4 linked regions of the Lepisosteus oculatus genome follow. The protein of the gene in region 1 binds, or shares a complex with, the protein of each later gene. Links are inferred from orthologs where the notes say so. Each region holds a gene or a part of one and is shown in the gene's direction. Other genes may lie near its edges. The genes, in order: tmem67, b9d2, mks1 and ahi1.

Evidence for each region.
Region 2: tmem67 (region 1) and b9d2 share a complex: the UniProt entries of both Homo sapiens proteins name them as parts of the tectonic-like complex. The link is inferred for Lepisosteus oculatus from reciprocal best matches to the Homo sapiens genes TMEM67 and B9D2.
Region 3: tmem67 (region 1) and mks1 share a complex: the UniProt entries of both Homo sapiens proteins name them as parts of the tectonic-like complex. The link is inferred for Lepisosteus oculatus from reciprocal best matches to the Homo sapiens genes TMEM67 and MKS1.
Region 4: tmem67 (region 1) and ahi1 share a complex: the UniProt entries of both Homo sapiens proteins name them as parts of the tectonic-like complex. The link is inferred for Lepisosteus oculatus from reciprocal best matches to the Homo sapiens genes TMEM67 and AHI1.

What each region holds. Positions count from the first base shown.
Region 1 is NC_090705.1:7,410,551-7,417,464, forward strand, and holds the start of tmem67 (meckelin), read left to right. Parts: upstream 1-3,900; 5' UTR 3,901-3,917; coding exon 3,918-4,110; intron 4,111-4,605; coding exon 4,606-4,694; intron 4,695-5,525; coding exon 5,526-5,616; intron 5,617-6,340; coding exon 6,341-6,440; intron 6,441-6,523; coding exon 6,524-6,593; intron 6,594-6,914. Other genes in the region: rbm12bb (RNA binding motif protein 12Bb), read right to left, coding at 731-751. UniProt on the Homo sapiens protein: Required for ciliary structure and function. Part of the tectonic-like complex which is required for tissue-specific ciliogenesis and may regulate ciliary membrane composition.
Region 2 is NC_090698.1:6,671,933-6,679,087, forward strand, and holds the start of b9d2 (B9 domain-containing protein 2), read left to right. Parts: upstream 1-4,136; 5' UTR 4,137-4,250; intron 4,251-6,024; 5' UTR 6,025-6,028; coding exon 6,029-6,116; intron 6,117-6,237; coding exon 6,238-6,363; intron 6,364-7,155. Other genes in the region: cyclin-dependent kinase-like 1, read right to left, coding at 890-1,057. UniProt on the Homo sapiens protein: Component of the tectonic-like complex, a complex localized at the transition zone of primary cilia and acting as a barrier that prevents diffusion of transmembrane proteins between the cilia and plasma membranes.
Region 3 is NC_090721.1:453,763-461,227, reverse strand, and holds the start of mks1 (tectonic-like complex member MKS1), read left to right. Parts: upstream 1-4,459; 5' UTR 4,460-4,673; coding exon 4,674-4,750; intron 4,751-5,253; coding exon 5,254-5,375; intron 5,376-5,808; coding exon 5,809-5,873; intron 5,874-6,425; coding exon 6,426-6,581; intron 6,582-6,750; coding exon 6,751-6,848; intron 6,849-7,459; coding exon 7,460-7,465. UniProt on the Homo sapiens protein: Component of the tectonic-like complex, a complex localized at the transition zone of primary cilia and acting as a barrier that prevents diffusion of transmembrane proteins between the cilia and plasma membranes.
Region 4 is NC_090697.1:50,193,405-50,201,350, reverse strand, and holds the start of ahi1 (jouberin), read left to right. Parts: upstream 1-4,930; 5' UTR 4,931-5,141; intron 5,142-7,946. UniProt on the Homo sapiens protein: Involved in vesicle trafficking and required for ciliogenesis, formation of primary non-motile cilium, and recruitment of RAB8A to the basal body of primary cilium.

The sequences.
Region 1 (6,914 bases):
TAAAACTACAGGAAAAAATCATAACTAGACACTAAGAAAGAAAGAAACAAGCGTTTATGAAAGTCTAGAGAAATCCTCCATCTTCTCTGTTCATAAAGAACACAGATCAGTCTTCTTGCTTCACTCCATTTTCTGGAACAAACATCAGTATTATCCACACCAAATACAAAAGCTCCCGATGTCCAATTTCCACTGGAAAGTGTTCTTGCTTTTGAATGTTTCTGTCACATCCAATGCAGTGGCAATGCTTGAGGAATGTACCAAGACGGATCTCTTGCTTAAGTGCAAATTGCACAAAGTGGGACCAAGCAATTCAGTAGAGTGAGGGCTCCCATGTTCCGTGTATCCACTCCATTCTCTTTATGCCAAACAGATATCAATCAATAATATTGAAAAAAATCATCTATATTATCCAGATGACAAGCTTGATTTAAACAGACATTTATTCATCTACACAGATTTCAATGTATCGTAAAAAAAAGCCCACCTCAATTTACTTCAGTACCGAAACAACAAGCTATTGAAGAGATTCAAACCCTAAAACAAAACTATCCAAAGCCATCACGGACAGAAAGAACGAAGATGATGATAAAAAAAAACATCACAGATAAATTTCACAAACAATGACTGAGATCAAGAAAACTTAGCCGAAGATCTCCCAGGCAGTAAAATCACACAACGTTAAGTGACCCCGTCACTGCTTTAAAAAAAACAGCTCTCATCCACAGACCTGTGGGTAGGATGAATTCATTTCCTGCAGAATTCAAGGTGCAGTTGTTGTTCACATCAAGGTGAACTAAGAAATATCAAAGTCTCTGATGGATCGACTCAAGGAAATTAACCAATTTGCTTTCCAGATAAAAACCAAGCAACAGCAACAGCAAACTTCAGAACAAAAAATGAAACTGTTTCTACCATACTGTATACATCTTCCCTAGTCATTAGATAGAGAAGTGAGCTGTTAAAAAATATATTATTTTTAAATATAATTTTTAATTAAAAAGCTTTTAACTGCAATTCTATTTTAGAATAAAGATTCATTTTAATTTACTCTAAAACATGCATTTCATCTTTTACCAATTAAAAAAAAACCCATGCCTGGAAAAACAAGGAAATTGTGTGGCAGAAAAGATTACGTACTTTCTAAACAGCAAGTGGAAATCCCATCCACACACTAAATTACAGCAAAAATCAGACTACAACATGCATAGAATAAATCCTTACTTTCTTATACAACATTGCACTTTTCATTTTAAACCCCCCTATGAGCAGTCAGACCCCCCAGACCAGGTGCTAAGTGAAAGTTTCCAAATAAATGACGCAGCCCTATCCCTTGCAATTATACTGATTTGACAGATTATTCAGAGGAAAACAGACGGGTTTTCTTCCAGTGAACCCACAGAAGTTAAAAGTGCTGCTTTGTTGTGACAACCATAATATCAGAAGAAAGAAGAGCATACCAGGTTCCCGCAAACTTAATGACTACATAGGCAACAAAAACCTGTTGGGAGGTTCTCAAACTGTGCTTAATTGCTGCCGGTGTTTTGGATTTGCACCTCTCCTGATTGGCATTTTAAGGCGTTGCTGCTGTTGTCTGTCGCATGTTCAGAGACTGTAACTGAGGGAAGGACCGAATAGCAGGGGTCGTGTGGTGGGAGTCGACTGGACTGGGTGTCCACTGAGTGGAGCATCAAGACCGACCGACCCCCCCTCCGGTCTCTGCAATGAAAAAAAAAGTGGCACGTCTCCTTCAACCTCCTAAATCACTGCGAGGACGTCAAAATGCAACTAGGTTAATCCAAACCAAGTTAATGAATGACTGTGATTTCTGCAAACAGAACACCGCGCCTGGCGGCCCACAAAACGAGTAATTGTTTCACAAATGTCTTCACGCATCCGTTAAATTAACCCCTATACTGTATTTTAAATTCTGCATGAAACCCTTATTGTATTTGCCGTCTTCCAAAGTGACTCGGTCGTTAAAGCCTAATTTAAGATGTACCGGATATCGTTCAAATTGTATTACAGTACAAAACAGTAAATGGCATACACAGGCAACAAACAAAATAACTGAAAACAGGTCGCTTTTGTGGTAAAAGCAAACACGCTGCCTCACTCTGTTATGTACCTCTCATCACGTTATCTAATCTCATCGATGAACCTAAAGCAATTGGGAAAAAAAAACTGCTGCACGTTATTTCATAATCCAGCAGCGGTTAATCAATCAAATACATTATTTTAACACCCGTTTAAGAAAACAGATGCACTAACGGTATCAACAAAAACACAAAACAACACTGGACAAAGTGCCAGGAAATTTAAAACTACAGTATAACGGGAAGGAAACGAATATCTGAGAACCGTTTCGTTAAATTAAGCAACTATTAAAAAATACAACACATTATATTTGAAATAGCCTATGGACACGTAACAAAACTGCGGGTTAACAACATAAACCGAAAGGTCCTGAGCACTCAGACAATAATTAGACGGTTTCATGGAAGTACACGGAAAAACCCAGAACCCACGCAATTGCCTTACGTACAACAAATATAGAATAAAAATGATTACTTGTCCAGGCCAACAGAAAATATAATCTCCAGATGTCCCGAATCACTCCCCAATACAGGTAAATTTCGATATTAGAAGAAAATGGCGTCCCCCCTCCAAACAACGAGGAAAACGTCAATTACAAAGAACGTCACCATCTACGGAAACTCAGAATAGCCAAAACGTGTTTCTTCTTTTCGAAAAAAAATAATCATAACACTTGGGTTAGCTATACTTTAGTTTATACTGTACCGTAGCCTTAGTACTGTATCTCTTATTGTGCTTTTTCGCATGTAAGCGCATATCTACTAGACACTTTCATTTTTCCATTGATAAGGATGAACGGGTTACTTTCTCTGTAATGCATTGATCCAAAACATATTGGACACTTCAAAGGTTTCAGATCTATGCATTTTTGAGAATCTTCACTTGAATATTTTAGACTAAACTCTAAACCATCCCAAATTGAAATGCTTCATTCTAAAATAGCCTCTTTGTCTTTTGATATGTTGATGGTACACTGGAACATAAAAACGGCTTTGTGTGAACTAATGCTGTAAAGTGCAGACACTATATAGGCTGTATTTAAGGCCAGTCACAGGCTCAGGTTCATACATCTTCTAATCTTTCTGACTAGTTAGCAGTTTATAATTTGTAACCGCTTTGAATTTAATAATTAAATGATTTAGATCCTTCTGAGTGTATGTTTATAAACTGATCATTTTTTCATGTAGTTAAATATAAATGCCACTGTCAAAAGACTACAGCTTGACCAGATTTATAGGATTGAATTATTTAAGTCAATGCTTGCATCATACCTGGAATAATAAAGAAGCCATTTACTAAATGTAATGCAAACTGAGCTAGAGGATTTTTTAACTACTTCTCAACACTGAAGGCTCCATAAACTCAAAGCATATAAGAGCCTTTCAAAAACAGGATGTATAATCACACTTCCTTATTTACATTGGTTTTCATATGTAATTCCTGACACAAATCGTTCATGTGCTTTTGGTAAAACATTACTTCACTTCCACAAGGTATATCTACGAGAAGCATCAATTTAAAAGCTAAAAGCTGGCAAAAAAAAACGAAATTCCTTTCTAATCAAGATTTATTATCTCGTTCAAAAAACAATTCCTATCTTCATTACGAAAAAAATAAGCAAACATGCTTAATGCTATGACAAAAAATCTAACTGTGCTATGTACAGTGTATATAATGTGTTCGGTGGTAACCACATCGATCAGCAAACACACCTCCTTTCCTCTCAGACTCATGAAAACATTCCCACAAGCCTGACAGCAACAGCACAAGGCTCCGGGTTTTGGACGGTTGGATTCTGGGAAACAGGAAGGCTGTCTACCATGGCGACAGGGACGCTATGTGTCTTTATGTGCAGATCTATTTTATTTGTGTTGCTGAAATCAGGTATTTACAGTTGTCAGCAATTCTCCATTCCCTTTCAGCAACCCTCAGGGTGCAGCAGAGAACAATATTTTGACATTTCAAGTCTCTCCTGCGTGAAGTGCGGACCTAACCAAATCAAAAACGCAGATGGTAAGTATCAGTAGTATTTGATGCTAGTATATAAATCGGCTCGGCGCCCTTCTGATTTATCTTCTTCATCAATGGAGTCAACACAAGATGTCAAAATAGGTCTCCGCCAGAATGACTTTCCAAACAGCAATTTTGTCGTAAATTTGTATGTCATTTAGTTAATCACATTATTGTAAAATGCAAATGAAAAAAAAACAACAAACTGAAGTTATCATAGTCTCATTAATTAATGTAAGATACAATTAAAATAGACGAGACGTAAAATTCTGGTTTACCTAAATGCTGCTGCATATTTCTTCAATCGATGTTAAGCAACGGGCTGAACTGGATCTGAAAAATATGGTTTTAGGTGATACATTGTGGTTGCAGGCAGATCGTGAAAACAAAGTATCTGTCAACTTTATACTTCCGTCATCATTCCTAATAATTGTGTCATTCTTCTGTGTTCCTAAGGATAAGAGAACAACTCAATATGTTTAGTGCTTTGTGTTACAGGGACTTCGTGTATATGCGAGACTGGATTCGTACTGGTATCTAATAACGGAGAACCTGCAACCTGCGAAAAATGTCCTGATACAAAAAAGGTATGATTCTTCTACTTCAGTGCAGTTTCTTCTTTCATTAAGAAGCTGAAAAATAACTTAAATGTAGGCTGTATAGGAAACAAAAGTTGGAGTTATTTTATTTCTCCCTGATACTCCTGACTTATGGTTTTAATTTTGATATCGCTTATGTTTTTAAGATTTCAACACACAATCACACATTCACAGATCACACAGCCAACATCTTTATCTTTTTACACTCTTTCTTTTTAAACCACGTCCATATACCCTTGGGGCCCTGACTAGCTCCATTGGTAGTGCATGAGACTCACAATCTCAGGGTAGTGGGTTCATGTCCCAAGTCAGGCGCCAGGTCCTCCATGTTGGAGGTCGGGCACAAGGCTAACAACCCTGTTCTGTAAAATACTAAAAACAGGGTGTTTCTGCCCCTAAATGCCAGAAGGCGTAACAAGCAAACATCCCTCCATATACTATATGAGGTTTAGTCAATGTGTGCTCTGAAAATTGCCCTTGTATCATCCTTCTTTTCTGTTCTGTTACTAATTTACCATCCTCGGGAATAAGGGGATGTTGCTAAGAGCCCATCTAGCCCATTTGGTTGCTAGTAGCTAAGTGATCCAAGGATCTCAGCCAGCCATTTCTTGCGAGAAACTAAGGTCCTGGCTTGTTCCATGCTCCCACAACACTTTGTGTAACGATGTCCACATTCTTTTGTGTTGTGGCGGGGTAGCGTGACAGGTATTGGTCTTTTTAAGTCAGGCTTAAAAAGCAACTGTTCACAGCACACCTTCCCAGGTATGACATCTCTGTTGTTTTTATGTTTCTGGGTATATCTCCTGTCTGTCATAACAGGGAGTCACCAGGGATGGCTTTGGATGTATCAGATGCCCAGGAGGTTTGAATGACGATGGAACATGCCAGTGCTCAGCTGGAAGTATACTGGGTAAGATTGTTTTAAATCTACAATCTCCCTAGCGAGTTAAGGGAGAACTGGAACACTGTTTTTAAATTTCGGATTTAGAAAACATCAGCATTGATGAGTGCATTTCAAACCACAATAACAGTCAAATGTACACAGTAACTTGTAAAACCTCCAGTTTCCATCACATGCAGCGCCATGTTCTGCCATTCAGAACGAGGTAACAAAATTTCCAGTGACGTGAAGTGACTCTTGCTTGTTTAACTCTGCATGCATATCACATTGGAAACTTTCTGTGGTGCAATATCTGCTGCACAATCTGTTATTCACTCTGAACATCACGTTACATCAGTCATTACAGTGACTAGTGAGCAGGAAGGGCCGCATCACATCACACTTCTGGGGAACTTGAATGTGAGTTGGAGACAACATGGCAACTTAACGGTACTTTCCCAAAGTTCACGAGTTTGTGCTTAATTCAAAATTTGTCAAATTTGTCTAAACTGTCAATGGAGTCATATTGCTACCGAGATTTGATATGTGAGAAATTGGGACTGGAGTTTGCCCTTGAGCTGCATTTCATGGAAACAGATATTACTGTGGGAAATACTTCCTCTATTGTTCTTAATGTCTGCTTAATTGAAGGAATGCATGCTTGTATTGACTTAATTATAAACGCATATATTAACCATTTCTCCATGTTGTGTGTATGTTATTTTTCTTACTGACCTCACATTTCCCCCACCAGTTGAAAGGGATGTCAACGGAAGGCAGCTGGAAGAAGGGAAGTGTGAGCCCTGTATTGCTGAAAAACCTGTTTTTACAGTCCCAGATGTTCCTGGAGACAGGTAAATGACTCATTTTTAGTAAATCTCCCTCAGACATAAAGTATTTCTAGAAATTGTTTACTGTATGTTCTGTTTTCTCACAGGTGTGTCAGATGTCAAGAATCCTTTGTCAATACATCCCTCTCCTGTGTTTGTGGTCCATCTGGTACACCAGTACGTATTTTTAATGCCTCTTAAAAACATACCTATGTATACAAGTATACTTTGTTCAGCTCTGATTTGCCTTATTGAAGTAATACTTTTCTTACAGGACTCAGAGGAGCATATCACATTGTATACATATTTTCCTGTTTTGTTGTTGAATTGTTGTGTATCTTATGTTTTTTATGATTATTTTGTAGCTGTTGGTTTAAAGCTTTCATATGTGAGAAAGTGATATGAAGAAGTTTATCATTGTTTCACAGGATGCAATTTACAATTCTTAAGTTATTGTCTGATGCTGAATTGCTTTGTGGGTAAATGCCTTTTGAGATG
Region 2 (7,155 bases), on another chromosome or scaffold:
TGGCCAGGCTGTGGTCACTGAGCCTGTCCTCTCTGGACAGTCAGGTCAGTCCGTGTCCAGTTTCTATGGCCAGACTGTGGTCACTGAGCCTGTCCTCTCTGGACAGTCAGGTCAGTCTGTGTCCAGTGTCTATGGCCAGACTGTGGTCACTGAGGCTGTCCTCTCTGGACAGTCAGGTCAGTCTGTGTCCAGTGTCTATGGCCAGACTGTGGTCACTGAGGCTGTCCTCTCTGGACAGTCAGGTCTGTCTGTGTCCAGTTTCTAAGGCCAGGCAGCGGTCACTGGGCCTGTGTTTAATCAGGGTCTGTTTCACCTTGCTGTCTCTCACCCTGGTCAGATACTCGGCTGCTGTGTGTGATTGTGTTGACTGGGTGGGTGAAGCTGTGTGTGTGATTGTGTTGACTGGGTGGGTGAAGCTGTGTGTGATTGTGTTGACTGGGTGGGTGAAGCTGTGTGTGATTGTGTTGACTGGGTGGGTGAAGCTGTGTGTGATTGTGTTGACTGGGTGGGTGAAGCTGTGTGTGATTGTGTTGACTGGGTGGGTGAAGCTGTGTGTGATTGTGTTGATTTGGTGTGTGAAACTGTGTGTGTGATTGTGTTGATTTGGTGGGTGAAGCTGTGTGTGTGACTGTGTTGATTTGGTGGGTGAAGCTGTGTGTGATTGTGTTGATTGGGTGGGTGAAGCTGTGTGTGTGATTGTGTTGATTTGGTGGGTGAAGCTGTGTGCGCGTGTCTGGCCTGAGCAGTGTGGACCTTAGGCAGGCTGCTGTCGGTGTGGCCCAGGACAGTGAGCTCTTGCCTGGACCCAGCTCAGCAGGGCTCTCTCCCCTCTCCACCTCTCCCGTCACTCTGCCCTGCCTGGCTCATCCTTCTCGCCCCCTCCCTGTACCTTTAACATGCGGATTTCTCTCAGGGCAATTTTCCTGATAACAGGGTCATCCTCGGATTCCACAAACCGCTTCACGGCCACAATCTGGCCCGTGTCCCGGTTCCGGCACTTGAACACCACGCCGTACGAGCCCTCGCCGATCTTCGCCAGCTTTTCAAACTTCTCCATGGCAACTGCACGGAGGTATGAGACAGGTGTGGGTAAGGAGGCAGCTGCCAAACACAGAATGAAAAGACCACCATGTTTCTAATCTGCACTCATCTGCTTCTGAACTGGAACCCTGAAATATTGCTAATCTTTCAAGTTGCATCAGACTGCTCGACTGCACTGGGACTGTAACTCCTATTGTAACAGGACTGTTCCACTGTACTGGGACTGTAGCCCCTACTGTAACAGGACTGTTCCACTGTACTGGGACTGTAGCCCCTATTGTAACAGGACTGTTCCACTGTACTGGGACTGTAGCCCCTACTGTAACAGGACTGTTCCACTGTACTGGGACTGTAGCTCCTATTGTAACAGGACTGTTCCACTGTACTGGGACTGTAGCCCCTACTGTAACAGGACTGTTCTACTGTACTGGGACTGTAGCTCCTACTGTAACAGGACTGTTCTACTCTACTGGGACTGTAGCTCCTACTGTAACAGGACTGTTCTACTGTACTGGGACTGTAACTCCTATTGTAACAGGACTGTTCTACTGTGCTGGGGCTGTAGCTCCTATTGTAACAGGACTGTTCCACTGTACTGGGACTGTAGCCCCTACTGTAACAGGACTGTTCCACTGTACTGGGACTGTAGCCCCTATTGTAACAGGACTGTTCCACTGTACTGGGACTGTAGCTCCTATTGTAACAGGACTGTTCCACTGTACTGGGACTGTAGCCCCTACTGTAACAGGACTGTTCTACTGTACTGGGACTGTAGCTCCTATTGTAACAGGACTGTTCTACTGTACTGGGACTGTAACTCCTATTGTAACAGGACTGTTCTACTGTGCTGGGGCTGTAGCTCCTATTGTAACAGGACTGTTCCACTGTACTGGGACTGTAGCCCCTACTGTAACAGGACTGTTCCACTGTACTGGGACTGTAGCCCCTATTGTAACAGGACTGTTCTACTGTACTGGGACTGTAGCTCCTATTGTAACAGGACTGTTCCACTGTACTGGGACTGTAGCTCCTATTGTAACAGGACTGTTCCACTGTACTGGGACTGTAGCCCCTATTGTAACAGGACTGTTCTACTGTACTGGGACTGTAGCCCCTACTGTAACAGGATTGTTCTACTGTACTGGGACTGTAGCTCCTACTGTAACAGGACTGTTCTACTGTACTGGGACTGTAGCTCCTACTGTAACAGGACTGTTCCACTGTATATTACTTTAGTCCCCCATTGTAAAAGGTTAAAATGACATATCCTTACCTACACTGCAGTGGCCACTGGACATATCCTTACCTTGTAAGGTGATTATATATATTTTTTTCTGCGTCTACGTTGTCTTGAGATTAGAAAGCGTCTGGGCGACTCTTCATTCGTCCTCCTCGCTCCCCAGTGCAGATCAGTGCGCGCCTCTTACGGTGTGTGCCGGCTCCGCGTCCGTGTGTTTCTGTTCGTCTGTCTGCGTATCCATCTTCCCCTTAATGTACAGGGAGTGTACCCGTGATCTCGCCAGTCGCAGTATGCTCATATATCGGCTTTCAAAGGAAAGAACCTCCTCAGCCCTCTGGCTGCTCTATGAACGCCCGTCCTTCAGCTTTGGCGTGGGAGGCCGTGGCGCGCCCGCGTCGTCTTGCGGTCGTGCCGCCGATCCTGCGTGGGGTTGTTTTTTTGTTTTGTGCGTGAATGTATTTTCCCTTCCGCGAGTGCGAGTTCCGTGTTTGTGTTCTCGTGTCGGCTGTGTGTGTGTGTATGTGTGCGGTTGTCCTGTGAACCACGCAGCGCCTTGGTTACGGGCCGCTCTCATTCCGCCCGAGTGCTTATTTATTTATCGCGGCGCCTGGTCCGCACACTCCGCCGGCCGTCACCTGTTGAAGACAGCGGCGGCCCGAGCTCATTTCTCGGCTGGGCGCTCTCAACCGCGGCTGCCTACCCCTGCATTTCCACGCGAAGTTTTTTCACAACCCCCCCTCTCTCTCTGTCCTAACTCTTAAACCCCAGGCCCTCGGCGAAGCGTGTGAAAACAGTCTGCTCGTCTCTCTCCCTCCCCGTCAATTCAGGGGCAGCTTACGGGAAAATAAGTCAGCAACAGATGTAGCTGCAATTTGGGTTGTTGTAAGCAGTACCGATAGGCCAACTAGTTGCTGTAGCGACAGCACCAGGACCAGCAGCAGTATTAGTAGTATACACAACAGTGTTAGTACTAGTGACCGTAGTAACTGCAGCGATAGTTTTAACACCTGTAGCGGTGGTACTCACGGTAGCCGCAGCAGGAGCGGTTGTAGCAATAGTCGCTGTAGTAACAAATTGGCAAGAGTGTACACGTACACTACCTTTATTAAGCGCCTTCTGTCCGAAATAACTTAAGATTTTCAGGTTTTACACATGTATTTTTAGTTTTCATATTACTTCTGCATAACCTTTACAAGTCCACATTATCATAAACCTGTATCACCGACTCGGATACGGCGAAAGGAGTCGTCGCAGGGCTCGGAAAGTGGCACCAAGGCTCCGCCTGCCGGCAGTGTTAGACGATTGATTGTACCGATTGTAGTTAACGGCTTTCGACTTGTTACTGCACAGTTCTGCACCAACTGTTCGTTTTCCTTATCCTTGTAATGTAGTACACATCAGTACCGTTCCGCGCAGTGTGTCAGAACTGTACTGTTCCACTGCAATACTCTTTATGTGTGCTAGTTATAAGATGAATGGAGCAATGACACTTCGTACACACTCAGGGGAAACCAAGGCATAGGTCCAGGGCGATATTTCGAGCAGGTCCGTCAGTCTCCACGCACGCCTGCGTGGAGAACACGCACTGGGGTGGGTCATTAATCGATAAAGAGCCCACGGGTGTTACCTGCAGTAACTCATCGATGGGAACTTGATCCTCGTGGTACCATTTGGTTTTGGGCCAGCTCTCATTGATCGATTGTTTGGTCAGATCAGCTCACTTTATTTTACCTGTAATTACAGTACTTCCCGGACGGCGGTTCGACAGCGTCCCGACTACCTTAAAAAAAAACCCGAGCCCGGGACCACGTGACATCAAGGACCAATGGCAGAGCCCGGTGTCGGGTTGCTAAGGAAGTGGCGGGGACTCGCCTCTCTAGCCCTGGAGACCGCCGCTTGAATGTAAACAAGGAAAGTTAATTTGATTAATGAAGTAAAACAAACCTGGAAAGCACCGGGAGGATTGAAGGTAAAATTTCGGTGTCTTCGGGATTAAGTCGTGAGGTGTCTCACCACTCTATAAAGCTGTTTTTTTATATTACATGAAATACAATCTCGAGAGCGTCTTTACCGCTTGGAACAGCACCTGCATTGTTTACTATCTGGTAACTGGACAGACTGGTCTAGGTTGTGCCAGATAACGGAACGGTGTGATGTTACAGTAGAATAAAATGTTATTTCACACCCTTTTCCAGGTTTCTGGAGTTATTATTTTACAAGGATCAAACACCTGATTTTTTTCTGCAAGTAACTTGACGCGCCTGCCAGTAGGAAACAGCTCGTATTTCTATCACAGTGCATAGTGTGTGATTTATTAACAATGGGTTCGTAACAGCATGCTATAAAATGCGTTAAAACGTGAGTTAAGAGCATCCTACCACAAGTGCCTTCCCCTTTTCACTCCCAACTTAATTTCAGAGTGATTAAAATTAAATTGAATCATTATTTTCCAGTTTGTAACAACAGAGTAGCCTGAAAGAAGCAATTGTATCATTAATAGATTGAAGAATGCAGCTTTGAGGATGCATCTGCACTGAATCTGAGCAGTGTGATAAGAACATAAGACAGATTAGACATAAGAAGATCAGCAATAATATTATAAAGATTACATTACAAAAGAGGAGGCCATCTAGCCCATTTGATGGTTATTAATTGATCCAAGGAGCTTATCCAATCGTTTTAGTAAAGACGTCTGTGAAATGGTTTCAACAACAAGGCTGGGTAGCTTGTTTTGTTCCCTACTCTTTGGCTAAAGAAGCGTTTGTTCTATGCTCTTAAAGCGTTTCAGCATAGTTTACATACAGTACAGTGTGTGTCCCCTTGGTCATGTTCCATGGTTTAATCTGCTGGTATCCACTGGTCCCCCTGCGTGATGGTAATGTTTTTCCAGACATACAGACCAGCACTTCAGTGGGCTCAATATGAGAGCAAGTTAATTAAGTGAGTCTGTGAATTGATCATCCAATGAACGTTCTTCAAAGGTGAAGGAACTGACTCGGGTGTTTAAAATCCTCCGGGCCATTGAGAACATCAGCCCATTGGATGTCTTCAGAATCAACAGAGCAAAACAAGCGAACAAGTGGAAACGAAGGGGAAGCACATTCATCTTGTTTGTCACCTAACAATTATATGACCTTTATTTATCACCATTGTTCCCTATGCATGTAATAGAAATCCATTGGAATGTTTCACAAGGTTATGGGTGCTCCTGTTCTAAAATAACCCTGGCCAGTGCCCACTGCAGTGTAGTCCTCTCTCACATTGCAGTATGGTGCTCTTTGCCTCTGTGATCTGATTTCTTCCTCAGCGCAGCAGCCTTTAGGTGAGGTATGATTTCCCAGGTCAGATCGTTAGCACTGACAGCTGGTCTCGGTGCCGGAACAGTTCAGGGACCAGCCAGCATTGTTGTAAGATGAGGGTGTCCGTAAACCTGTGACGAGATGGCAGAATAGATGGCTATTGCTACAGGATGATGCTGATAATGAGAACAATCTACCTTACCTGTGAAGTGTATTTCGTATACAGTATCATTCACTTTTTTTGCTTTACTTGTATACAGGCTTAAAGTTTTGACAGTACCTGTATTTCATTTATCTTTCCAGTGTCAGTGTGAAATAGTGTCCTGTTGTGTCTTGTGTCTGCCAGTGTGTAACGGTGTTCTGTTGTATCTTCTGTCTGCCAGTGTGTAACGGTGTTCTGTTGTGTCTTGTGTCTGCCAGTGTGTAAGGGTGTTTCTCTCTCAGCAGGATGGCGGAGCTGCACATTATAGGCCAGATTGTGGGGGCCAGTGGCTTCCCTCAGAACAGCCTCTTCTGCAAGTGGGGTGTCCACACAGGTATTCACCAGCCATGATCAGGCCTACCTTCACTCAGTTCTAAACCTTCAATGATTTGATGTCCTCCCTTATCTCAGTGAGGACACAGTGCACGTGCGTTACAGTGTTGTGTGTGTTGCAGGAGGGGCATGGCGCCTGCTGTCAGGGCTGAGGGAAGGGCAGACACAGGTGGACTCTCCCCAGATTGGTGAAGTGGCCTATTGGAGCCATCCCATAGACCTACACTTTGCCACCAAGGGACTGCAAGGTACTTCCTCCTCCTTCTCTTTCCCTTTTCCCTGTCTCAGTTGCTTACCTCTCTTCTCTTTCTGTCCTCTCTCCTGTCTTTCCCCTTTTCTTCCTGTTTCTCATTCTGTTCCTCTCCTTTCTCTCTCTGTTTCCCCTTTCTTCCTGTCCTCTCAGTCTCTGTGATTTGGAAAAAAACAACATAAATGTTGCCCCACAACTGTAATCATACCTTACAGCACATTGTCTGTTCATCTGTCGAGTTAACTCATTTTAATGCACATCTATGTAAACCTTCTTCCTTTGGTTAATGGTTTCTGCGCTGTATTTAACAGTGAACTGAAATGGCCCAGAGTTTGATTTATGAATGCATAAAATTGCCATTTGTATTGAGCACACTTTTTTTTAAGATCAATTTCACCTTACAGTATGTTGTCTCCAGCTCAGAGCTGATGTTTCTGTACTGATGTTTTCAGTGTGTCCACACACTTTGCTGTGGGCCTCCCTTTTACTGCAAGAGGACCGCATCTTTTCACATGTGCTGTGCAGTGACGTCAAGCATTCTGAACTGCAGTTTCAGCAGAGTTAACCCTTGCTCTTTGTTTCTTGGATGGATGAAGACAAGCTAACGTTGACTCCCACTGTCAAGGGTTATACTGTAGTTCCTATGAAAAACGAGGGGTTTGCAGAATTCAGTTATGGGGAAGAAATATCCATCTGGGTGAATGGAAGACTTGCACTGACCTGGATTTTTTGGGGTTTGCTTTTTGATTATTTTTTTTTACTCCATCTGGAAAGAACAGTTTGACTTGAG
Region 3 (7,465 bases), on another chromosome or scaffold:
GAAATGGAACAGATGATATCAACTGGTCAAAAATAACCGCATTGCCTAAAATATGATTTCATCATTTCGCTAGATCTCTTGTGCTCCTCTAAGGGGCCCAATGAGAGACCCAGAGGCTGGGCTTGTTTGGTTCTGGCTCGGTTCTGAGGTGAATACAGATCCTGAGGCGTTCGTGTCGATGGCCCGGCAGTCTCTCGTGCTCTGGAGACGCCGGCTGTGTGTTTGAAGCCCTGCTCTGGCTTGAGCTGGGAACGTGTGCACAGGGAGCCTGACTCTTCCTCGGACCAGCGCTGTCCGCGGTATCCCCGCAGAGAGAGACCAGAAATGGGGACTCTGTGCTTCATCTTTCCCCGAAGGGGAACGTAGAGGAATCCGGAATAGTTGGCGATCATTCCCTTCTGCGCCACCGCTGCTTTCTTGCTCTGTCCCAGATCCCAGGTGTGAGAGGAAGAGTGGGAATTCAGATTCTTCCACATGCCAGTTTTGGAGTGAAGGAAGCCAAGGCTGATGTGGGAGATGTGAAGAAGCCCCAGAGCACTGACCCGCCTGCTTGTGTTTCAGCACCCACAGCAGCGCTCATGGGCGCCAGACCCGCGGTGGTGTACCGGCCATGTGGGGGCGCTGTCTGCACCCTGAATCTAGGAACTCTCCTGCTCTGACGCTGCTGTGCCAGGACTGTGCTGCTCCCATGGGGAGCCTGGACAGGGTCGGTGAAGACCCTCTGGGGTGCAGACTGCCTCCCCTGGAGCCTCTGCTGGGACAGAATATTCCTGAACCGTTGTGGGACGTTCGTGTCCGTTATCTCGAGGCAAAGATCATGAGCAGGAAGCATCCAAGCATGGAGTAGAAGACAAGATTGGGAAGTGTAAGTGGGCCTGAAAGTAATCTGTCTCTAGAAAAGCCCCACGTGCTGCTGCAGGCATTGGATTTCTTCCGGTACCTGTGGCTGCTCCCTTTCAGATCTTTTTCTCCAGCAGCCGTGAGTCAGGTTGAACAGAAAACATGCCCCCAGGCCAGACCTGCTGCTGCCTGTAATGTGTGAGACTGAGGTGCATTGTCCACATTTTCAAGGGATGCTCAATCACTATTTTAAAGCAAAGAGTCTGCATAGATTCTGATCTCTTTAAAAACTTTGATGAAAGTCTTTCATATACACACCAGCTCGATTGAATACCTGTTTGGCGCAATCGTGTGGCCCTTGACTGTACACAGTCCTGTTAACTCCAGCAGCTGTGGAGCAGTGTGATTCAGTCCAGTCTTGTAACATTGGCAGTCTGCAACAACAATGAGGTAACGTCCTGGAGTGTCCCAACTACTGCTTGCTGTGACAAATGAATGTGCACTTGAAGAGGGTGTCCTTAAGTATCTGGGCCTGATTATTTTTGCCTGTGAGCAAGGGGTTGGCAATCTGATTTGTTTATTGTGGAATGGGCTGTTTGCACACCATTTGCCTAAAGGGAAAATAAATTCCATTATGATCAAAATTTGGGGACTTTGTGCAGAGAAAGCATGTCGGTACATATATCTGTATCTTTCCACATACCCATATATTTAAAATACAAAAAGTTGGGTTTCCTTGTAGCAATGGGGGACCAGATGTGAAAATTTTAGAAAGGGAAGGCTTTTTTACCCTTGTGTGTGTGGTGGGGGGGGTCGACGCTTCATGTTTTTAATGAAGAGGAACAACAGCTACACATTTTGTTTTGTCCACTGAGTGAACAGCGAACAAGAGATTTGTTATAAGACGCTGATATTTACTCCTGGTCCTGGTAGCTACATTGGTAACTTACAAATCCTCAGTGGTGGAAGACTTATGAAACAGTAGTAATATAGATTAGTAAAGTGAACAGTTAATTTAAGAGTCCAGGGTGGAATGAAAACCAAAACATGGCTCTTCAGGAGCAGGAGTCGATATCCCTGCTTTCGATTAGAAATAAGTGTCCTATTGCATAGTATTTTGATTCATTTCAGTTATTTAAGTCTGCAATCTCTTATATATGGATGTTTATGGATTATTCAGTGTATTTGCATATATCCATTTAGTTAAAATGCAATTAGTGCTTTTTATGCTACAGCTCTTACCAACACTGCAGCTGGTAATTCCTGGAGTGGATCAAAATGCTCTGTTGTGGGAGGTGAGTTCTTTATTTTTTTTTTCCCCCCAGAGACTTTTGCAAGCAGAAAAAGGTTTTGTCACATAGTACGTCAATATTTTGTTAAATGACTGCTCATTTGCTTTTAAATTGGATGCCTTTGCTGGAAGTGTTTTTATTGTGCTGAGCATGTTCATTGTCTGGGCTTGACACTGTGTGAGTGGCGGAAGCAAGTCTTGGCTACTGTTGCTCATGCTTCAGCTTTGTGATGTTCAAGCGTAAATTGTTAAAAATCACGTCAAATCAAATTCCTACAATAACCGGTTTCCAGAGACTTAAAATAAGTAGTGCTGGGATGTATGTTTTTGTTTTTTGTACAGAACTTTGAAAATGTGTTTATTTAACTTTTTTTTTTAATTAAGCAAATCACAGCTTACCTCCATCCTCCAATTTTTTGAAGAGGCTGTAGTGGTGTGTTCTACAGTGCTTCTGTACTGCTGCTACAGCTGTTTCAGTGACACACCTGCGTATTTTAGAGATGTCAAGATCAAACTTCCTCCCACACTCTATAAAGACATGCTGGTGGGGTAATTGGCTTCTGGGAAGATTGTCTGTGCCCTGTGATAAACTGGGGTCCCATCCAGGCTGGGTCTTGCCCTGTGCCTGTTGGTTGGGGGAAGAGGGTGGAGAGTTCAGGGTCATGTTAGTGCCCTGTTGGTATGACCTTTGACCCTCTCCCCAGTACAAATAAAACTAACGTGTTGAGAATGAAGATAGTTATTAAAGCCCACTTTTCCTGAACTGAAAGCAAATCAATTAAGATGTACAATTATTGTGGAACGACTCAAAGTGCACAGCAGAGAGTCGTGAGTGTGCTTAGAGTTCAGCCTTTTTAGTTTTTCCCAACCTGTCAAGATGTTACACATTAGCGCTGTAGAAGCGATAGGTCTGTGAGTGAGACGGCTGAAGCAGCAGAAGAAGAGACTTAGAGCCCTGAGCCTGGCTCTGCCAGATCATGTTCTCACCAGATTGCTGGTGTGCTGGTCCTGTAACAAACACATCCACAGAGAGAGAAGGCTGTCAGTCCCCTATCATGAAACAAAGGCAAAACCTCCTGTTGGTTCTGCAAAGTCTGCTTGAGGTTTCTGATTCATAATTGTGTATTACTACGTTTTATTTTTTTCAAAAAGAAGGAGTTGGAGGGAGAAAAAAGAATTTGTATACAAATTGTATTTTAATGGAAGCTGAAAATGTATTTTTAAAGTACTGGACAACAACTTTTTATAAAGGAGCTGTGGATTTGGATGAACTGTGTGTTTTTTTTCAGATACTTTCTTACCACATTACCTTGTTTAACAATTCGGGGTTCAAGGAGTATCTTCCAAAACAAGATGATTGATTATACATGTAATATCTGTGAATTCAAGCTTACAGGAATATCTGTAAAAGGCCCACATGGAACAATAAAAATCTTGATGTGTAACTCGTCATCTCCATTGAGCATCTGAAAGGATGTCCTGATTAAGAAGAGGGTTTGCATTCTTGTACCTCTGGGTTTGATTGGTGGTTGTGGGGCCTGTCTGTGTGGAGTTTGCGTGTTCTCTCCTGGTGCGCGTGTGGTTTTAGCTGTGGTTTCCTCCCAGGAGCTGATGAGGAGCCCCTGCTAGCACACTGTAGTCGTAGCCCTGCGGCCCAGCCTTGTCCTCTCGGGATGGGCTGTCCTGCTCCGGCTCTGGCCAGGACTGGCGGCCTTCCGCTCGTCGCCAGGGCCACTGGGGGGATGATCTTAGGATGTTTCAATATATTTCAATATAGCGCCTTCTTTTCTCTGTGACGCATAAAACACCAAAGTCATGAGTTTGTGCTGGCTGTAGGGGGGCCAACTTCATGGAGCTCAAGGTAAGCCCTGCATGGTATTATAAATACAATATTTTGTACGTATTTTGAACCTTGCATTTTTGCCTTGTGTTCATTGTGTTTTGCAATAAAATATTGACTTCAGAGTAACTTGTAAAACTACTGAACAATCTAAAAGCAGGCATACGAAATACTTAGAACCGTTACAAGCAATAAGTAAAAATGAGCTCTTGCAGCTTTTCTTTAGCTAAAGACAGAGTCCTCATACGAGAGACCTTAGCAAACTAGCTGTCATTTGAACGGGATTTTGCCGACTCTCTAGACCGTGACGAGATTATCGCCATATTGAATTCCAAGCCCCGACGCCTGCGTCTGGTCTAGAAGGCCAAAACCTCACCAGAGGTAGGCACTGATTGTTTTTTTTTTTTGCATGTGTCCGTCGTGGCTCAGTAGCGTGCAGCAGCCTAGGTAATTGTGTGTGAGAGAGAGAGAGACCGTGTATATATACAGTATGAGGTTCCGCTAATTCTGCTGTTTGATTATACCGCTCGAGGATGACATTGTAAATTGAAGGGGTGCCCCTATGCTGGCAGGACGGTCAGTTAGAGCCCGGTCCACCCCAAAATCAAGTCCTGGCTACAGCCCCTGCCTCCACCGCCCTGTGTCGGTAAACCGCAGGAAACGAGCCCTGCCGTTACCGTGACAACACACACGTCCGCAAAGATGGCGGAGGGCTGGAGTGTGGATACGGGGGAAGGGGTTTATCGCTCCAGGGATCCAGTCGAAAACCTGAAAATAAGGTAACCAGGAAAGACCCGAAAACAAGAAAGATTTGAACGTACAAACAGAGCACTTCACAGATTCGTGCTGGTTCTTCTTGCCGGGAGTAACGTGGTATATTCAACGTTGCGAGTTCAGCTCGCCGGTTGAACATAACGATAACGCGTGTAAAGTGCACGTTCAGACAGCATCTAATCCAGTAGCGTTTTTAAAAAGAAGTACAGCATGTATTTCGACGTTTGCTTTTGGAGGTATTCCCGACATTCGCTACTTTATATTTTATATAAACGTAAGGGGTTGTTACATCCAAATGTAACGTTAGAGTTGTTTACAGTTTGTAAAGGAGGATTATGCTCGTACAGCTCCCTTTACTGTCGTATCGCAATTCTGAACACAATTCAGTGCTGTCTCGGTGCTGGAGTGTAGCAGAGTAACCTGTCAGTGTGGTGCAGCGCTGTCTCAGTGTGGCAGTGCTGGAGTGGAGCAGAGTACTGTGTCAGCATGTTGTGTCTCTGTGTTGCAGGGTGCGGCTCCAGCGCATCACGTCCCCCACGGTGTTCTCCCAACAGCTCCAGCAGCAGGCCTCTGCCCTGCAGGAGAAGGGCCTCATTGAGCTCCTCACCTTCAGTGCTCAAGCCAGCTCAGGTGAGTATGTGTGCAGGGCCCAGGCCCTCTTTAACTGGGACCAGTTTCCTGAGGAGATCCATATCCAAAGGGTGTTAGTAGGACGTCTGAACGCCTTCGTGTCTGGATCTCAGGTCAGGGAGTTAGCGCCAGCACAGAGCTTCCAGCATGGCAGTCGCTGATATGGAGCAAACCAGAGAAAAGTACAACCAGAGAGTATATATTTCCTACTGACGTCAGCTGGTGCTGATACCGTTTCTTGAGTGCTGGCAGTTCTTTAAAGAGATGCATTTCCGCTGCCAGGGTAAGGGTGTCCCGCCACACGCTCGCACACACTGTAGGAACACGGGTTCTGGTTTGTTTGTTGGCAGTGAGGACTGTGGAGGAGCGCAGTGCAAGTGGCGGCCAGTGTCTGCTGGGGGCCGCTCAGTAACGGGCCTGTCTTGTGTTCCAGCAGGCGGTCAGCAGGACGACAAGGAGGACGTGACGGTGGGCTGGCAGGAGAAGCTCTTCAGTCAGGTGGGGGCCCGGTAATTGGTCAGGTGGGGGCCTGTTCAGTAATTACAGATGCAGTAATAACATCGGCTGGGCGCTTCCCTGTCCTGATGGCAGTAGGGGTTACTCAGTCTTCAGTGAAAAAGCAGGAGGTACTGTAATGTGCTCAGGCTGCCACACCTGAAGAGTGTGACAGGGCCCTGGTGCTGTGGTGGGGACTGTGTTCCTCGCGCTCTGCGCTGGACGTCCTCGGAGAGAGTTCCCACACTCCCTTCTCTTCACGAGTCCAACCGAGTGAGGCTGCACACAGCACTGTCCAGTCTTAGGAAATCCAGGGAAAGGAGAGATGGATGTTTCTGAAAAGTGTGAAATGAATCCAGGAAGTCACCTAAAGCTGCATTATTATTGGGATTATTTTGCTCTACAATGATTTTGTTCCTGAAGAACCATGTCCGTGTTTTTAATAGGGAACCTATTTTTTCATGCCAAGCGCTAGCGTCTGCAGTAGGAGTGTAGTGGGAGCTGGGCTTTGTCTTTTCCCTGAGATGTTTCTCCTGACCTGTGGGGTGTGTGCAGAGTGAGGTGGCCCTGCTGCAGACCGAGGCGGCATGTCGAAGCCCCCTGGAGAGGCAGTACCATGCTGAGATCGCTGCTCTGGAGAGGGCAGGGGGGCGGGCCAGCCGCAGGATCTTCACCTACACCGACTGCGACCTGCTGTCCGGGGAGATGGAGGTGGGTCCGCTCTGCAACTGGCTCGGGCTTTAAAGGGCCAGAGATGCTTTCATGTTTATTGTGTGGCTGCTGCTCTTTCCTTGAATGGCTGTCTGTTGTTGCCTGTAGGATGCAAGGCAGAGTGCATATGAAGATGAGAGCACTTAGTCGCATTTGTGTGTCTCTGCAGCACAGTCTCCCAGTGCTGAACCCGGACTGGGCTGCCCCCACCTTGCTGGCGGAGAGAATGGCGCATGTGAGGCACAGGAGACAGGAGAGGCGCCCAGTGTGAGCAGCAGTCTCTTCTTCCCGCTCTGGCTGTACACATACACACAGCGCTGATAAACATTACTTTGCAAATAAATACAGCATTATGTAAAAGATGTAATATTTATTTGTACATTTATATGTTTTTTGCAAGTTTTTGTGAAACATGGCTCTTGGATACAAAACAAATTCGTAAGAAATCTGCCGAAGTATTATCATTTTGGATTGTACTGTGCCCATTTCATGGCCTGAGACAAGCTGAGTGTTACCTTTTTTAGGGACCTTTTAGTTACTCTCTGCCGTTCTTGAGGGCTCACAGAATGATTTGGTGTCCTAAGCTGAAGGAAAACGCCTCAAATGGTGTTGCATGGTGTAAGGAACTGTAACCTCCAAATATCACTTTGCCACCTTCACCTTCTATCCAGGGCCCACTCTGCTTCTCAATACGTTGTGACCTGTATGATGTCAAGCTACTGTTCACAACAGAAAAGAAAATGGTAAAATCTTCAGCCACATCACAATGTGATGTTTAAGACCAGCATGGTGCTGGCTGGGTGCAGTTCTACTTGTACCGTATGAGCCTGGATCTCTGTCTGACTTTGACTTTCCCACACCTGGCTTCTGCCCTCCAGGGAAGG
Region 4 (7,946 bases), on another chromosome or scaffold:
ATTTCTCTACTTAACAGACATACAGTAGATGTGTAAAAATAGACAAGAAACAGATAGAAATGGAGCAGGAAGTGGGGCCTCACACTCTACTGGGCTGCTGACCCTCTGTGCACACTGCCAGTGTAGACTATAGTATTGACTACGAAGACCACAGAACAGGAGGAGCAGGCAGACATCAGATGAATGTAGAAAACATGTTAAAACGCAGCTAGTGTACAGGACCAAGTTTAGAGTTCCTGATGCCTGGCCTACAACTTTTTTTTTGCTGCTGGTCCCCTTGTATCTATACTGATGGAAAAAAGAAACACACCATTTTCTGGAACAAGAATACTATAGTTATACTGTAGCTTATGTACTTTCCCAAAAAGTTGTCAATTTGTTTTAAGCCCCCTGACCAGCAATACGGCTTGTGCAGTGAAGTATTGCAACTTGCCAATCACATGAAAGCTCGTTAGGTGCACTTTTACCCATTGAGGTCCAGGTGGAACAATGCCTGATCAGGTCACCTTTAAAAAGGCCTTAATTCAAAGCTTAGGTCACTGCAAGAGAAAGGCCACACTTAGGTCAGTAGTCAGTTTTCTATGCATTTCTATGCATTCCATAATGCCTCGAATGTCACCAGAAGCAAGGGAGAGGGCCATTGGCATGCTGCTGGTAGGCATGTCAAGGTTTCAGCAGACCAGCAGTACAGATAACCATCCAAGATTCGGTCACCCTAGAGTGACCTCACCAGAGCAGGACCGACACATCAGACTGGTCCATCTGAAACATCTGCCACCCATACTGCTGCTGAAATTTCCGGCAGAAACAAAGCCCACATCAGTGACAGGACAGTGAGGCTCCATGCTACTGACCTTAGAGCAAGGCGACCTGTCAGAGGCCCTCTGCTTACACCTCCTAGACGTTACAACCGACTGGCTTGGTCCAGACAGAGGCTGCGATGGACTCGTCAGCAGTGGCATCAGGTCCTTTTCATGGATGAGTCACTCTTCAGCCTGTTCCATTCAGACAGGAGGGCCAGAGTGTGGAGGAAGAGGTGCTGCATTTCTTTTTTCCATCAGTATATTTATCATATTTGTGTCTGTGTGCCATCTGAGCTGCCTGTGACTCCGTAAAAAACTGATTTCATGGATGCATCTTCAATAATTAATAAGAAGAGAATCTAATTTGTCAAAATAAAAATGTTCTATTTATTTTGTTTTTTTGGTCAGTGGAGAAGCAAGCAAAATGTGTAAAACTGAGCTGGTGGTGATAAGCTCATGAAATGCTACAAATGGGTGTGGACTTTAGTTATAGTCTGACAGACACACAGTACAGAATTAATATCTGAGTGAATATCTGCATCTTACACAAAATTAAATAAAGGATATGGCACATAGCTATCAAGCCATACTTGTAGAAGCTCATGATTCGCATTCACTACAAGTTTTTTTTCCCACAAGAACGTGATGGTTTAATCAAGGAATGCCTAAATCTGGAAGGCGTGACGTCAGCACATTACTCACAAAGTACAAAGGTTAAGCCCATGCTGTGATGCCTCCATTTTTTAGTTCTGTAGCATGGAAAACCCCCCACAAATAAATCTAAGAGAAATTCTGGTGAAGGACTTAAAGTGGGTCTAATGGAAAACACTTCCTTTGAAACACTATTAGATATAAATTTAACTGTTGCTTGTATATGAGTTGTGCACGTCATTTGCCCTGCCTCTACAAAGTAGAGCTAAAGGAAAATCAAGCAAGAAAATATTAATGAATGGGTCTTTATAATTCTACTTTATCCAAATGTTTTAAATATTCCACAACTGTCAGAACACTAATGATAATATATTAAAGGACTCAAACTTAAATATAATATTTTACAATATACTCTTATAAAGTTAGGGTCTCTGGAGCTCATGATTTTAAACATTGATTTTGCTTTCACACAGAACGCCCACAGCAACAACAACAAAAAAGAATTTAATGAAGAGATTGCATGTAACCTAGGAGATACAAAGATGTAGCATAAATGATATGATAAACTCAGCAAGTGACCCCAGCAGGAAGGAAGGAGTCCGCCTGATTTAGTGAACTGGCTGAAAACCGTGCCAATGGCAAAGTTAGCGCTAACCTTCTAGGTTTGGGGAAAGGGTGGAGGTAGATTTGTCTGCTACCTATTAATAACCTACTGCCAACATATATTTAAAGATGCATTTTTTTTATTTTCTGAAGAATCACAGTGGGTCCCTGGAAAAATGCTGTATATCAGTGTGTTAGCACGTACTGTGACACACTGTCAGATGAATTAACTGATAGATAATAAAATTAAGACACTCTGGTGACATACAGGACAATCTTAAAGAGAAGTCACGGTGCTTGGTGAAAGCTCTAAATGGTAACCCAAACCTAAAATGGAGCTGCTCACATACAGTCAAGTTCAATGAATGAAGTACATTTTCCTTTTACAAAAGTGAGCATACAGTAGATCATAATGAAATATAACAGCAATAAATGTATTATAATCAAGTACCGATCAAACGTTCATTAACAATATGTTGAATACTTAAGAAAAGTAATTTAGAAAAGGCATTAATATTTAACACGGATTTTTAATTTTGCATTAGTTAAAAAAAACTTCATCATTTTGAAAGGTTTCCTTTTCATAAAAAAGTGGTTTTGTAATTTAGGTTCTGTGATTCATCTCTCTGATTAATCTCTTAGGTTCTGTTTTGTGCAAATCCTCTAAAATGTTTCGCTTCATTGCTTTGCTAAAGATTTTGTAACCTGATTTGTAATAGAGAGTGTGAAATAGTAAAACGAGTAGTTTATAGATCACACGAAAGATAAATAAATCACATTTATTTCAAGTCACAGTACATGTGTTTTAAGAAGGCACAGGACAGTGGTTACAGAGAGAGTGTTATGGTAGGGGTTAGAGAGAGCGTTAGATTCTGGTAGCTGCTTACACCACAAGGGAATGTTTGAGACGAGTGAGTGGACAAGGCATGTAGGAGAGAAAGGAAAGGAAGCCAGCTGCTAAATATGAGAGGGTGAAAGTGGCAACAGATATGAAGCAGGAGAGGGATAGATTATATACAAAATGAGCAACAGAGTTTTCATTAAATATGGAAGAGGTGGTGCAGATCTCTAAAGTGTGGAGAGCATAAAACAAAACAGCTGAGGTAGCTCAGTCTACAAAATATATGGTTTTGGACCAAAAGTTTTATGGAGCAGATGGCTAAGAAAAGTATGGTAGAGGATTACCTGGTTTGAGTGGTTTCCTCCGGGTGCTGCAGTTTCCTCCCAGAATCCAAAGTGAGTGTGTGTGTGCATGTGTACTGTATGTCTGTGTTTTCTCAGTGTGTACCTTGGTGTTCTATTCCAGTGTATATCTCAGGGTATATCTGGGTTAGGCTCCAGCTCCCTTGTATTGGATAAAGTGGTCAGAAATAGATGGACAGAAAAATCAATAGTAAGCAAGGAAGACGATTATAGAATATATAATATGTCTGACTTGAAAAATATGACCTTGAAGTAGAGGAGTTATTCCATGAGGACATACTGTAACTGAAACACTGTTGCACAAATGCCAGAATTATGGAAGAGAAAGGAGAAAGGAATCTGAGCATTGTTAACAAAGAACAAAGAAGTGGTACCTGTGAAATAAGATTAGACAACCAAGAGACTAGGTGTGGAAGTAAATAAGGTGCCTGGGTGCTGATCCTTGCAGAATAACAGCTGTAGGTAAGCTAAATTAGAGGCAGTAGAATAACTAGAGAGCAGAAAAGATTACCATTCAAAATCACTGCAAAAAAAAAACAATGCAATTTCCAAAGGAGGAGGGAACCATAATACAGTGAAGTGTATCACAAACCACTCATGGAATTAGCACCTAGAGATGAAGAAATGCCTGGCTGATTTGGCCCTTTAAACTGATCCAAGAGACAAACTGAAACAGGTTTCCTGCCAAGTCATAGTTCTGGTTATTTTGTAAAACTAACTGTTTGGAATGAACCATGACCGAACATACATTCATCCCGTGTTATATAAGTAAATGTTTATGCAAAGGAGTTTACAGACAGAATTTCTCATAATCAGGTGGCAAATGCAGGAGCTATTTAGTTTGGTGGTATCTGATCTCCACCTGGTGGCAACAACACAATGCAGCACAACCATTACAGTGCATTGTGCGTACAGTAAATTTACACCAATGATGAAAGGTTTTTCAGTGAAAGTAAGAAAAACAATTAAGATTATGTTCAATAATTTGCAGATAATTAAATATGGTAACAATGATTGTATTTGAACGGTGCTTCTCATGCAGTACAGCACAAAACATCGTTTAAATAGATCAACGCATAAACATACTAAAACATTTCAAACATTATAATCATATTTTGAAATGTTAAGGCAGAAAATTGCTTATAGAGTAAATATCAATGTATTATTACACTAACCAATCACTCAGTCGAGGTTTGAAATATTAAGAAGGCATCGTGTGAAATTGAACGATATAATAATACTTTCAGTTTTAAGCAGTGTCCGGCTTGCACAATTTCAAATATGGACATCCTGTAAATTTAAGCTTAAGTTCAACTCACATTCACCCACCAATGTATGCAAATCACACACTTTAAATGTGATACATATGCCATTGTGCCTTAATAGCAAAACGTAAATTATTTGACAACGTTGCAATTACGTGTGCTTCGTGCAGCCTTTCTTGTTTGGTGTTTTTGCACTTTTAATATATACTCTGTCGAACTAATAAGAATTAAAAATGATGTTCATTCACATTGAAACATGACTACGACTGGAAGATTTAAAAAAGAGCGCACAACAGACCAGAGTCACAAACCCCAACTTTACTCTAGTCTCCTGTAATTTGTTGGTTTCTATGACCCCGCACGCACAGATTTGTTCCCTGCGCCACTGCACAAGACACCCTACCCTACTGTCTGCCGCAGGAGAGGACGCTTGATTCTGATTGGCGACGGCGTGCTGTGGCGTCACACGGACAGCGGCTCTCGCCAATGTTGTTGTTTGAGAAACCATCGTGACGGCTTGACTCCATTGATGCATTTGTCTGTCCTGGTGTGTTGATTCGTGTTTTAATACAGTAAACGACACACACAAAAGTCCGCAGAATAACAATGTACACAGGTACGTGTCTCGAGACTCAGCATGCATTTCAGTATTTAAAATATGAGTTCAGCTTGTTTTGATTGCGGGAGTAAAGTTTGCGGAGGATGCTGTTTTCTAATTATTTTTATGTAGCATCTTGATCGCGATTTCATGTTTGGGTTCTGTTTTCTCAATATGTCATTCGGCACTGTTGCTAAGGACTAGACGTGAGTCATGTTGTGGTGTCTGATACCAGTAGGGTTGTATAGAATTGACTGTTATCTCTCCATCATTCACCGAAACATCACCGTAAAGCTTAAGCTGATGTGATGTTGAGATTTAGAGAAGAGCGTTCAAGTTTCTGAAGTCGCTACATAGGTTTGATTCTTCAGTCAAGAATATATTCGCAAAAAGAAAAAATGTAGTACTCCTGAAATGTAAACTAAGCACTGGAGGAGTAGTTTACCTACTGTATATAACTGGAGGGTTGTGGGTTCGAATTTCGTGTGGGACACTGCTGTTGTCCCTTGAGCCAGATTGTTCCAGTAAAATGTACAGCTCTGTAGATGCAAGCTGCACACGCTGTGTGTGGGATAAATGACAAGATGCTATGATGCTATTGAAATTCAAGCCAAACAAATACATTTAAAACCACTGGTTTCACAGCTCATGACTAGAACTATACTTGGTGTTATTACAAGGTACATGAAGTCTGGAAGTAGTTCTACAGTTAATTTCCTCTGTAAACTAACCTTAAACATTTAATAATAATAATAATAATAATAATAATAATAATAATAATAATAATACACTTTATTTTATATAGCACCTTTAAAGGTGGCTTCTCAAAGCGCTTTACAGGATGACAATAACAATAAATAAGAAGACTACAACAATAAATAAGAAGATTTCACAAGATAGGACACAATTATAATTACAACAATACAACAATAACAATAGGGGGAGACCGTGGAAGGTATTACTAAGAAGAGCAGAGGGGTGAAGAATGGAACCAGTTAAGTAAAGGCTTTTCTGAAGAAGAAGGTTTTGAGTCTGGATTTGAAGAAGTTTAGAGAAGGTGGCTCTCTAATATCCTGGGGCAAAGAGTTCCAGAACTTGGGGGCATAGCAGGAGAAGGCCCTGTCGCCCATACAATGTAGACGGGCTTGGGGGACAATAAGGAGGGCAGAATTTGAAGAGCGGAGGTTGCGAGGTCGGGAGTAGGGCGATAAAAGTTCAGACAGGTATTGAGGTGCCAAGCCATGTAAAGCCTTATAGGTGAGCATGAGGATTTTAAAGTCTACGCGGAATTTGACCGGAAGCCAGTGCAAGGACTCCAGGATAGGAGTAATGTGAACACTTGCACTAGACCTGGTCAGGATTCTGGCTGCTGAATTTTGGACATACTGCAGCTTGTTCAGAGTAGATTTAGATACCCCCAGGGAGTAGAGCATTGCAGTAGTCAATTCGAGAGAATACAAATATGTTGATCATCTTTTCAGCCACAGTAAATGATAGCATAGGGCATAGTCTTGATGGGGGGTACCAATAAGCATGACTTCAGTCTTGTCACAGTTAAGATGAAGGAAGTTTTGAGTCATCCAAATTTTTATGTCAGAGATGCAATTAGATAGAATAGAGACAGCCACATCAGTGTCAGGTTTGGTATGGATGTATATTTGAGTATCGTCAGCGTAAAAATGAAAGCTGAGGCCATGTGATCTTAAAAGCTGACCAAGTGGGAACATGTAAATGCTGAAGAGCAAGGGGCCCAGTATTGAGCCCTGGGGGACACCAGACTTGCCAAGACCAATTTCAGACCTGTATTTAAGTTATTGAAAGATAAGCAGTGCTGAAGCAATGAAACAGACTCAAACTTTGCCTGGTTGTTATTCTCAAACATCCCCAAATAATGTTTTTGTAATGGAAATTTATGATGCACAATATTCTGAATGCTGACATTTCTGAGGCAATATGAAGACCAGAAGAATATTAAGATCTTATTGTTAGAATCTTATTTTTCAGTTACAATTACAACGATAGATTCACAGATAATAATTTCCAGTAGTCCTGGTTACATAAATTCTCATTAGATATTCTAATACTATTGAAAATTCATATCTGAAACCACTGTGTAGGGACTAGATAGTGTAGACATTGCAGCTATTTATACAGTAACTGTGACAGTTAAGGAGCTGAACAGAGTATTAGGTGCTCCATCTCTGGTGTTGGAGGACCACTTTGTAAGTCAGCAGCACCTGAAGAGCTGGGAGAAGTTGATGTATTGGTACAGTTAAGTCAGTAATGAGATGATTTAAGTGCTCAGTTTGAATGAAAACCTCTGTGCTGACATATATTGATATAACAGGAGCGGCATTGGACCACCTGCATTGCTGCATTGACAAGAACCTGTTGTGTTTCTGTAACAAAAAGAAGATAAACCTGTAATTCTGAAGAAATGAGGCAGAAAGCCTTTACTGTATTCAGTTTCCGAAAAGTAATTTTAGCTACATTTGATCATTAGGCATCTAAATGTAATATCAAATGTAGGTAAAAGTTTTTAAAAAACTGAATGTAGGGTTTTTTTCCTCTCTTTATGATTGAGATTACAGGGATATCTTATATTTCTTATATTTGTTACAATAGACACCCACTTATTTTGAGTCAGGGTAATAGTAGCTTGGAGTGACATCCTGGTTGCTCGGGGTACGAGGTGAGACTGCCTCTTCTGAGGGAAGAGATCTATTAATTTGCAATCAGAGAGCATTAGCACTTGCTACTCCTCTTGTAGGCCCTCTAGCCCTCTCCAGTACAGAGCAGCCAACAGGTCAGTGCCTGTTTTGT